Linked DNA regions of Neurospora crassa OR74A. The main gene of each other region encodes a partner of the protein of the gene in region 3 in a complex. Links are inferred from orthologs where the notes say so. Each region holds a gene or a part of one and is shown on either strand. Other genes may lie near its edges.

What was found.
Region 1: NCU00570 (region 3) and NCU02533 share a complex: the UniProt entries of both Saccharomyces cerevisiae proteins name them as parts of the RNA polymerase III (Pol III) complex. The link is inferred for Neurospora crassa OR74A from reciprocal best matches to the Saccharomyces cerevisiae genes RPC11 and RPC40.
Region 2: NCU00570 (region 3) and NCU01772 share a complex: the UniProt entries of both Saccharomyces cerevisiae proteins name them as parts of the RNA polymerase III (Pol III) complex. The link is inferred for Neurospora crassa OR74A from reciprocal best matches to the Saccharomyces cerevisiae genes RPC11 and RET1.

The regions. Positions count from the first base shown.
Region 1 is NC_026501.1:2,645,839-2,649,394, reverse strand, and holds NCU02533 (DNA-directed RNA polymerase I and III polypeptide), read left to right. Parts: upstream 1-1,358; 5' UTR 1,359-1,467; coding exon 1,468-1,545; intron 1,546-1,636; coding exon 1,637-2,695; 3' UTR 2,696-3,055; downstream 3,056-3,556. Other genes in the region: nuo49 (NADH:ubiquinone oxidoreductase 49kD subunit), read right to left, coding at 1-236; NCU02532 (NEDD8-activating enzyme E1 catalytic subunit), read right to left, coding at 3,267-3,556. UniProt on the Saccharomyces cerevisiae protein: DNA-dependent RNA polymerases catalyze the transcription of DNA into RNA using the four ribonucleoside triphosphates as substrates.
Region 2 is NC_026502.1:2,490,063-2,494,075, forward strand, and holds the start of NCU01772 (DNA-directed RNA polymerase III polypeptide), read left to right. Parts: upstream 1-1,212; 5' UTR 1,213-1,398; coding exon 1,399-4,013. UniProt on the Saccharomyces cerevisiae protein: DNA-dependent RNA polymerase catalyzes the transcription of DNA into RNA using the four ribonucleoside triphosphates as substrates. Second largest core component of RNA polymerase III which synthesizes small RNAs, such as 5S rRNA and tRNAs.
Region 3 is NC_026501.1:7,970,123-7,972,797, forward strand, and holds NCU00570 (DNA-directed RNA polymerase III polypeptide), read left to right. Parts: upstream 1-1,288; 5' UTR 1,289-1,527; coding exon 1,528-1,540; intron 1,541-1,596; coding exon 1,597-1,883; exon of another isoform or gene 1,884-1,939; coding exon 1,940-1,978; 3' UTR 1,979-2,159; downstream 2,160-2,675. Other genes in the region: NCU00571 (hypothetical protein), read right to left, coding at 1-373, 521-547; NCU00569 (SOH1 family protein), read right to left, coding at 2,180-2,467, 2,522-2,638. UniProt on the Saccharomyces cerevisiae protein: DNA-dependent RNA polymerase catalyzes the transcription of DNA into RNA using the four ribonucleoside triphosphates as substrates. Component of RNA polymerase III which synthesizes small RNAs, such as 5S rRNA and tRNAs.

The sequences.
Region 1 (3,556 bases), about 5.3 Mb from region 3:
GGGGCACCGTCTGCCTTCAAAGCCTCCAAGCCATACAGATCGTTGTTGGGCGCAAAGTCGTCGCCGGTAGGGACCAGACGGGTTCCTTGGCCCTCGTAGCTGGGCTCGGCATACCGTCTGAGAGCGGAGGCAGAAAAGGCGCGAGTCGAGTTGAGGTTGTGAGCGATGGTGGTGCTCTGGCGCATACAATGGCGCTTGGCATTGCGCCCAGCGAGTCGGAACAACGTCGTCGCCATTGTTGTTTGTGGGACTGCCGCTTGCTTTGGGTCGCTCAGAAGGTCAGGGAACGGAGATGGATAGATTCGCAGGATTGACAGCGACGGAGGACAAAGGGGAGGAGGTTCGCCGCTGGATGTGGCCTCTTCTCCGGCGGTTCAATGGCTCGCAGTGAGCTTGCGATTTCTAGTGATAGCAGTAATAAGGTGGTGGTGGAGATGCTTCAGTTGACGTCCAGTCGACTTTCCCTGACCACGGCCGCAGCAACGCCCCAGCTTCGAACTCCTCAAATCGTTGCCGTCAGTTGGTCAGTGAATTTCAACCCAATCAAAGGCCATCAGTTGAGCAGTCAGAGACCAAGCTTCTTCTGGTACAACGTTCCCCCCACGGCGGGCAAGCTCCCGTCTCGACTGTTGCCGGCCAAGGCGTTTATCCGGCAGCCGTGCCGCCAAGCGGTCCCATGGAGGGCAGCCGCGCTATATGCCATCTGATTGGCTGGTTGTAGAAGCCTCGGTCCTTCGCCAGGCAGTCTCGAGGCAGTGTAAGTCGGAATTTGGGCATTTTAGGGAGAGGTTTTCGCAGAAAGGAAGAGGAGGATGGAAGAGCATGTCCACACTTATAACAATGACCACAGAGATTCCAAGATGTGCTGGAGTTAAGAGTGGAGTTAGTCAACATGTCACTTACTCGCGACAAACCTCGATGTGGACATGGAATATGAAGCCCCGATGTCTTTCCCTCGCCGAAGCTACAAAATTGTGGATTTGGAATTGATACTCCCGACATGCAAGTATATCTAGGTAGTTGAAGTATCTCCCATCATACCTGCGCAGCCCTTTGCAAGTGAAGATCTAGCGTTCTCTCTTCGCCTCAGGTTTCGTCGATGGTCGAAGTCGACGGTAACCTGACAGAGGTTATGGCCCGCCATGTACCCTGTTGGCCTTGTCCCAGTCATTGCGGTCCTGTCCACAATTGTCTCCGCCGAGGCCCATGAGCATCAAGTTGAGCCAGGCAGTCCCTGAACCTCTCCGCCACTGCCTGCAGCACGATAAGATCTCAGCCAACCAATCAACCGCATTCCCGCGAAGGCGGTCAAAAAGTTCCCGTTCGTGGGAAAAATTCTGCCGCTCCATCGCCCGTCGCACAGCGCAGAGCTCTCTTTCCCAAGATTTTGCCCGGCGTGCCGACCTGCGTGTGAAAGCGAGAGGGTAACCCCGCCAACCTAGAGCATTATTTACACATATCGTCGCAATGGGATCCTCAAAGAAGCAGACCGCCGTGCCCGTCAGGACAAAGGTCCCGAGCCCAGAAGAGGTTGAGAAGCGTAACGTACGTCAATCACTGGCTTGCCGCCCATCATCATCAGTCGAGGCTGCGCAGCGCATGCAACGCGGAAACTGATGGCATTTTTCTTCTGCAGACTGTCCATATCAACGCCGAAACTGTCACCAATGTCACATCCACCGACTTTCCCGGCTTCTACCCCGGCGAGGATCATTCCTGGGATATCGAAAAGTTCCGCGAAAGTGTCCGCGTAGTGTTCCACCAGAACGACCCTTATGAGGCTCAATTCTCGCTCATTGGCGTCGACGCCTCTATCGCCAATGCCTTCCGCCGTATCATGATTGCCGACATCCCCACGCTGGCCATTGAGGACATTTTCATGTGGAACAACACCTCCGTGATCCAGGACGAAGTTCTTGGCCACCGCCTGGGCCTGATCCCGTTCACCGGCGGCAAGGAAGGCCTCCATAACTTCCTCAAGTGGTACAAGAAGGGCGAGACCCCGTGCGACTACAACACGGTCGAGCTCGAGCTCAAGGTCAAGTGCGAGAACAACGAGAGCGCGCCGGCAGACAGCAAGGACCCCAAGGAGCTCTACCACAACGCCCATGTTTACGCTAAGGACATCAAGTTCGTGCCCAAGGGCCGGCAAGCCAAGTACTTCTCGGGCGAGAACGCCATCCGGCCCACGAACCCTGACATCCTCGTCGCCAAGATGCGGCCGGGACAGGAGATCGATCTGACGATGCACATGCACAAGGGCGTCGGGTCCGATCACGCCAAGTTCTCCCCCGTCGCCACGGCCTCGTACCGCCTCATGCCGACCATCACCATTCTCGAGCCGATCCTAGGCCGCGACGCCGAGAAATTCCAGAAGTGCTTCCCCGAGGGCGTCATCGGGCTGGAAAAGGTCACCAAGGAGGAGGCGAAGAAGAAGGGCAGCGGATACGAGGGCCATGAGGGCGAGCTCAAGGCCGTGGTCCTGGACGCCATGCGTGACACCGTCAGCAGAGAGTGCTTGCGCCATGACGAGTTCAAGGACAAGGTCAAGCTGGGCCGAAGGAGGGATCACTTCATTTACCTGGTGGAGAGCACGGGGCAGTGGGAAAGCGACGCCATCTTCCTCGAATCGATTGCCCACCTCAAGGAGAAGGCGAAGAGGTTCGAGAAGCAGGTGGTGAACATGGTACAGTAAACATTGTACCAGGGGTAGGAGGATTCAAAATAGCACGAAGAAGAGGTGAGGTTATTTCTATGTACGGTGGTTGAGACAGAATTTGAGCGATCATGATGTGGAATCACACAGGGAAAGAGGAAAAATCACACGGATTAGGTCGTGAGGATACCCATCTCTCTTGTAACCATATAAAAGAACATTGGAACGGCGTCATGGAGGCTAGGGATTGGTGGCCAGCTTTAGTTTAATGGTTTCTGCTTGTTAATTATCATAGACATGTCGGTGCACATGAGTCATGAACCACACTGTCTTGCATAAACACAGTACCCCTCATTTGACATGATGTCTTTTGGTTACGTACTGCGTAGCATATTGTTGAAGCACATTGTTAATCATATCTTGTATTCACATCTAATTAATTGCAAAGGAAGTTAACTCATCGCTATAGCCATCTTGCGGGTCATTCCCCGCTGCTTGTTGTGCAACGCTCCCGCTCGTAGGTAATTTACAAATCTAGTCCCTAAATAGCATGAACAAAGTCCAGGCAAACCAGGCCAGGCCATCATGACACGTTCATGTCTGGGGACCATCATGCAAACTTGAGGCTGAAGTTGAACACCACGCCTACAAACGCTGGATCAGTAACGGCGAGCTCAGTACCTTCCGTCAGCCCAAGCTGCTCAAGTGTCTTCTCCAAGTTTGGCCGCGTCTGCTCCTCCAAGTTCGGGGGCAACTGCATGTACAGCGTCTTGCCCTCAGCCCGCACCGACGGCTTCTTCAGTTGCGCCTCAGGAAGGGTAGCAAACGACTCTATGAGCTCTTCGAGTGTCCACTTGGGGTTGACCTTGAGCACCCTTGCCGTCATGCCGCACACGGGGC
Region 2 (4,013 bases), on a different chromosome or scaffold from region 3:
GACAGTGAGTGACAGGCAGACAGCCGTCAATGTTCAAGGCTGGACACTCTAACCCTCACTTCTGCCCTGTGGAAGATTCAGTACAAGAGAGAAGATCGATTTACATTCTGAGCACTCAAATGTACGATAGCCAGGTGATAGCTATGGTAGACGCTGAGATATGGAATGTCTTGAATGCTCATTGAGACCATGGTAGAGAAAGCGAACGCACAAGTGCAGCGCCCCCGTGTTTAACCTTGATGTGAAATCTCCTCGCCTTTTTTTTTCAATTGCTCCTCTTTCGGATCTTGCCCCACTGCTGGGTTGGGTTCCAGGTCGATTCAAGCAAGGTAGCACCCTGCTGGAGCTGGCCTAGGAAAAGATGGGTACCTACCTACACTATGCTGTAAGACACGGCCAACGGTGATGCGACTCTTTGACGTTTGTATAGTCAGCCAGAAGCATAACCCTTCTCTGATTCTTGAAGCCTGAGCAGGTCACAGCACTTGGGAATAACATCAACCTCCGTTGTATGCGATTAGCAATTCAAAGGCTGCCATATCAACGAACAAAGACCGAAGAAGACCATCAACATGATAACAGGTAGGAGAGAAATAGTGAACGACCCGGCAGGTGATTTCATAACCAGAAGCTCTCCCCTGTTGACTGGTGTGTCGATCGAAGGCCCGGCTTCCGCTTGGCGCGGCTAGATTCAGCAGAACGGATACATAGCTATCTTGAGGTTACCTAGCTGGCCTGACCCCGCTACAAATTGTTCAAATCGCTGTGCTAGTTGAAGTTGGATAGGTAAATACAACCTACCACCAGGAGGCAGATGTGTCGGAGTTGCACAGAGGCGGGGGTTCCTTATCACGAACATCAAAGTGACGGTCCGGAGTCAAAGCAAAAGGAAAGGTTTCAAAGGTACCCGACAGGTGGAGGGCACGGCCAAAAGTGGAACAAGGAACCTACATAGGTATATGTAACTGTCAATCAGGGGTCCAAAACGTGGGCGCTAACAATTTTGGCCTCGGCATACCAGTTAGGTACCACTGCAGTCACTAGCAGTCACCGGTCACCGCACCACAACACTACCTCTAGTGTAGTGCACTACACACACTAACAGTCAAGCACAGACCACTCCCGCCCCGTCGTCCCCCACCGCCCCAGCCGCGGCTTACCTCTACTGACCTAACAAGAAATGGCAGCGGCCAGCCCGTAGAAAAAGTTTATCGCAACTAATCCTTATCAATTTGCCGCGGGGCCAAAAATCACATCGAAATCTACCTACACAACTGCAAGGCGTATCTTCTCAACCAAACACACATTCCCGGTCGTTCCGCGCCCATCATCGCCATCCTCCATTCCTCCGGCCCGATCGATACGACGAACCGTCACCCGCAGTTAGCACATGCAAGGATGGCGGCTCTCGACGATGGCTTTGAGGCCCTGCTGGAGCCGTTCTACAATGGCAAGAAGCTGACCGATCCCATCTCGACCACGCAGGACAAGTTCCATCTTGTCCCGGCCTTCCTCAAGGTCAAGGGCCTCGTCAAGCAACACATCGACTCGTACAACTACTTCGTCAACGAGGAAATCAAGGACATCGTTAGGGCCAACCGCGTCGTCCGCAGCGACCAGGACCCCAACTTTTGGCTCGAGTTCAGAGACATCCGCGTCGGCATGCCCACCCGCACCGAAGATGGCGAACAAGTCCAGTCTCGAAACCCCGTCACCCCCATGGAGTGCCGTCTCCGCGACCTCACCTATGCCGCCCCCGTCGAGGTCGACATCGCCTACACCCGCGACAAGAACGTTATCGTCCGCAAGAACATCCCGCTATGCCGCATTCCCGTCATGCTCAAGAGCGCAAAGTGCTACCTCAACGGCGCCACCAATGCCCAGATGGAGGTCTTCAACGAGTGCCCTCTCGATCCTGGTGGCTACTTCGTTATTGGCGGAACCGAAAAGGTCATCTTGATTCAGGAACAGCTTAGCAAGAACCGTATCATTGTCGAGGCCGACGAGAAGACCGGCGGAGTCATGGCCTCGGTTACCAGTTCCACACACGAGAGAAAGTCAAAGACTTACGTCGTACTCAAGAAGGACCGGATTGTCCTGCAGCACAACACCCTCTCCGAGCCCATTCCCATCGTCATCGTTCTCAAGGCCTTCGGTGGTCTTTCCGACAACGACATCATCGAGCTGGTTTGCGGTGGCGATGCGCGCTACCAGGACGATTTCCTCATCAACTTCGATGAAGCCGGAAGAGCTGGTGTCTACACACAACAACAAGCGTTGGAATACGTTGGTGCTAGAGTCAAGATGGGCGGTAACAGACCCAAATTCGGTGCCGCTCCTCGAAGAAACCATGCTGAAGAAGGTCTCGACGCACTTGCGAACTTAGTTATCGCGCACGTTACTGTTGAGGGTCTCGACTTCTATCCCAAGGCCGTCTACATTGCCATGATGGTTCGCCGCGTGCTGATGGCAGCTCAGAATCCCAAGCTCGTCGATGACAGAGATTTCGTCGGCAACAAGAGATTGGAATTGGCTGGACAGTTGATCTCCCTTCTATTTGAAGACTTGTTCAAAAAGTTCATTTCAGACGTCAAGTACAACATTGACAACTTTTTCAAGAAACCCAACCGTACCTCTACGTATGATCCCCATGGTGCGATCATGGCTAACGGCCATTATATCTCTCACGGTCTTAACCGCGCCATTCAGAGCGGCAACTGGACGGTCAAGCGTTTCAACATGAACAGAGCCGGTATCACCCACGTGCTCAGCCGACTCAGTTATATCGCTGCGCTGGGTATGATGACGCGTATCAGCTCACAGTTCGAAAAAACAAGAAAGGTTTCCGGTCCAAGAGCCCTACAGCCCTCACAGTGGGGTATGCTCTGCACCTCTGATACACCTGAAGGTGAAGCCTGTGGTCTGGTAAAGAATTTGGCACTCATGACACACATTACCACGAATGTGCCGGAGGAACCAGTTAAGAAGATGATTTTTGCTGCTGATGAGAGCGTGGGACCGATCCGAGAATACACCGGAACAGAGATGCACAGCAAAGGCTCGTATATCATCCATTTGAACGGTACACCATTTGCTGTGACCAGGGAGCCAAAGCGGTTTGCCGCCAGGTTCAGAACTTTGCGTCGCCGGGGCTGGGTCTCTCCTTTTGTGAGCATCCACATCAACGAGCACTTCTCGGCGGTTCATATCGCTACCGATGAAGGACGTATTTGCCGCCCGTACATCATCGTCAAGAACGGCAAATCCATGTTGAAGGCAGAGCACCTGAAGATGCTTCAACTCGGGCAAGCGACATTCGACACTTTCCTGACCAGCGGCGTGGTTGAGTATCTCGATGTCAACGAAGAGAACGATACCCTTGTGGCGCTTCAGGAGGATCAGATCACCAACAGCACTACGCACATGGAAATTGAGCCGTTCACGATTCTCGGAGCAGTCGCTGGTCTAATTCCCTTTCCCCATCACAACCAGTCTCCCCGTAATACTTACCAGTGCGCCATGGGTAAACAAGCCATTGGTGCTATTGCCTACAATCAGTTCAACAGAATCGATACCCTTCTTTATACCCTTGTTTATCCCCAACGACCAATGGTCATTACGAAGACGATTCAACTTATCCACTACGACAAGCTCCCGGCAGGACAGAACGCCACCGTCGTTGTCATGTCTTACTCTGGCTACGATATCGAAGATGCGCTTGTTCTGAACAAGGCTTCTCTAGATCGTGGATTCGGCCGCTGCCAAGTGTTCCGCAAGTATACCGCCGAATTGCAAGGCTATACGAATGGGCGCCGCGACAGGGTTGGCGGTATCATGAAGGACGAAGACGACAAGCCCATTGTTAAGCACGCCATCCTCGACGCCGATGGCCTGGCCCAGGTGGGCTCAAAGGTTGAATCCGGACAAACGATGATCAAGAAGGAGACCCCGTTGGACCAGATCTCTACTGGAATCGCTGGCGATCGTGGGTCAGACGATTACCGTGACGCATC
Region 3 (2,675 bases):
CCGTCAAGCCGCCTTTGTTTTTCACGCGCGGGTTCGACCCGGCCTCCAGCATCATGTCCACCAGCTCGTTGCCGAACTCGCGCTGCGCTTCCGGCTCGCTGTTGATCCATCGGACTGCGCTGTGCAGCGGGGTGTCGCCCTCGAGTCGGTTGACGGGATCGCATTCAAAGCCTGGTTGGTCGAGGAGCATGTCGATTATCTCGTAGTTGCCACGGAGCGCGGCTTCGTGGTAGAGGTGGTTGCCCATCACGGTGGTCGTGTTGTTCAAGAGGGAGGAGATTTCTTCGTCGGATTTGTCGGCGAGAATTTCCGAGAGGAGGTCAGTGTTGTTACGCCGGCAAGCTTCAATGAGCTGCTCGGAGATGGAGGCACCCTGTATTTTGGGGGGTGAAAGAAGGAAGGGTTAGCTGGGGTTGTCTGTAGTATAGCTGTTTGCGCGAGAGGGCGTAGGGCGGGTGAAACGGGGGATAGAAGAGAGAGGGTGTTAGTTGGGGGTAGAGGACGCTTGTGTGGTACGAACCTCGTGTTCTTCGTCCTTTCCGGCCATGGTTACTGGTAGGTCACTTGTGGTTGTCTCGGAAACGGCGGGTGATGTTTCTTGGTTGTAGGAAGAAGCACAAGTAGCGAAAACGACGGTGAAAGCGAAGAGGGATGACGGCGAGAGTTGTCCAAAGTAGAGAGGTAAGATTGGCCTGGAATTGCTAATTACGAGCGGGAATCGTGGAAATGGGTCGGCGGGGGAGAGTGGATGTACGGTATGGAAGTGGCCAGGCTGTCGAATCAGGTAATCGGTCGATTCCTATAAAAGGATCGGGATCGCGTAACGCTCAATGAGGGATCTTCGGGGTAATAAGAGGGCGGCGAACGACTGTTTGTAGGGTACAGTGTACTGTATTCTATGAGATATCTCCAGTCGTGGTGGTGGTGGTGGTTGTATGAAGGACGGGATGGAAGCATTCCGTACCTCTACCTAACGGGCTGGTTAGGAGGTGGCAGTGGCAGTGTCGTCTTCCCTTGGTGTTACAGAATGGTCGGCTCCTTGCGGGGCCCGATCAGGACGCTGGCATTCAGATGGCATGCGCTGAGGCCCAGCTGCATGTCAGTGAGTAGGTACGTACCTACCTTAGCACAGGCACAACAGAAAGGGCCGTTGGGTCCAGGCACCGCTGACCAAGTGTGGGACAGTTGATGATGCAGATCTGACCAATGAAAATTCAAGCGCTACATTTAAGGTTTATAGAATTAACGGACCGCATCGAGCTATAACACTTTTTTTCAGGCCATCGCCCCTACACTGACTATTTACACTCTAACAACTTATATCACTACCTTAAAGCCCAGCAAGTGGTAGACATAAACACCGGTCTTGGCCAGCTGTTTTCACAAAAGGTACCAGCTTACGGCGACGCCTCTTCTCATCAGGATCGTCAACAAGACTTTTGGCAACCGCTCGACTCATCTCACTTGCTATTCATAACGGACGATAACACACAACAAACAAATCCAGTCCCTTCATCAATAGCAAACATGCCTATCGTCTGTAAGTCCAAGTCCACCCACAAAGGCTAGGACACCGGAACTAAACGCCCACCACAGTTTGCCCATTCTGCGCCAACCTCCTCATCCTCTCCCGAGCGGACACGGGTGGCAACAGGCTCGAGTGCAGAACCTGTCCTTACGAACACCCCATCGACAAGCCCATCTACTCCCGCAAGAACTTCCCGCGCAAGGAGAAGGAAGACGTGTTTGGTGGTCCAGGCGCTTGGGACAATGCACAAAAAGGCAAGGTCCAGTGTGACAGCGGAACTTGCAATGGCAACGAGGCAGCCTTCTTCCAGGTTCAAATTCGTAGTGCTGATGAACCGATGACGACGTTCTACAAGGTAAGAAGGGGATTGCAGACTGATGGGATAAAGTAAGAAGCTAACATGTCTCGTAGTGTATGACTTGCGGGCACAGGTGGAGAGACAACAACTAGAGGAAGAAGACATGTTCAGCACAGGTCTGGTCGGATCATCAATACATGGTATTGGGGGCATTGCTTGGCGTTGGGTTTTTCTTTTGTTTTTGTGTAGTTGCATGTGAGGTATTCTTCATCAGAATCAACTTGTGCGGTACTGGCCTGCCAGAGGCTACTTCCCACTCGTTTCCATCCCTGGCATCATTCTACCCGTGCAACTTATGCCGTGCTTGGAAAACTCTCTCGATGCCAGTCGATTCCGGCCTTCATGCCCTCTAGCCTGAGACGCTCGACCAGGTCTGGGCTGATGATGTCCTGCCTGAACTTTTCCTGCTGCAGCAACTCCAGGTTCTTCAAGGTAGGCCCAGGGTAGGTGATATACTTGAGGTAAGGTGGGCGGCTCCAGTACTGGAGATAGTCGAGGTAGGCGATGAAAGCAGGATTGCTGAGTAGCTTCCTGGACGCAAGATGGTTCAGGTACAGCGGGTTGCCAAGTGCTTGAACAAACTGAGTGTTCTGTTAATACCACGCACGCTGGATGATAATGTGTATGAAGCCTACCTCCAGTTCGAGTTCGAACCGTGTATATCCTCCATACTTGGGCTCGTCTGCCCCTGATCCCGGAGGCGCAGGTGGCTCCCTTGCTGAACTGTTTACTGACATGGGATCGGATGCCATGACGTAAAAAATGAGTGTTTGTTACAGTGTTCCAATC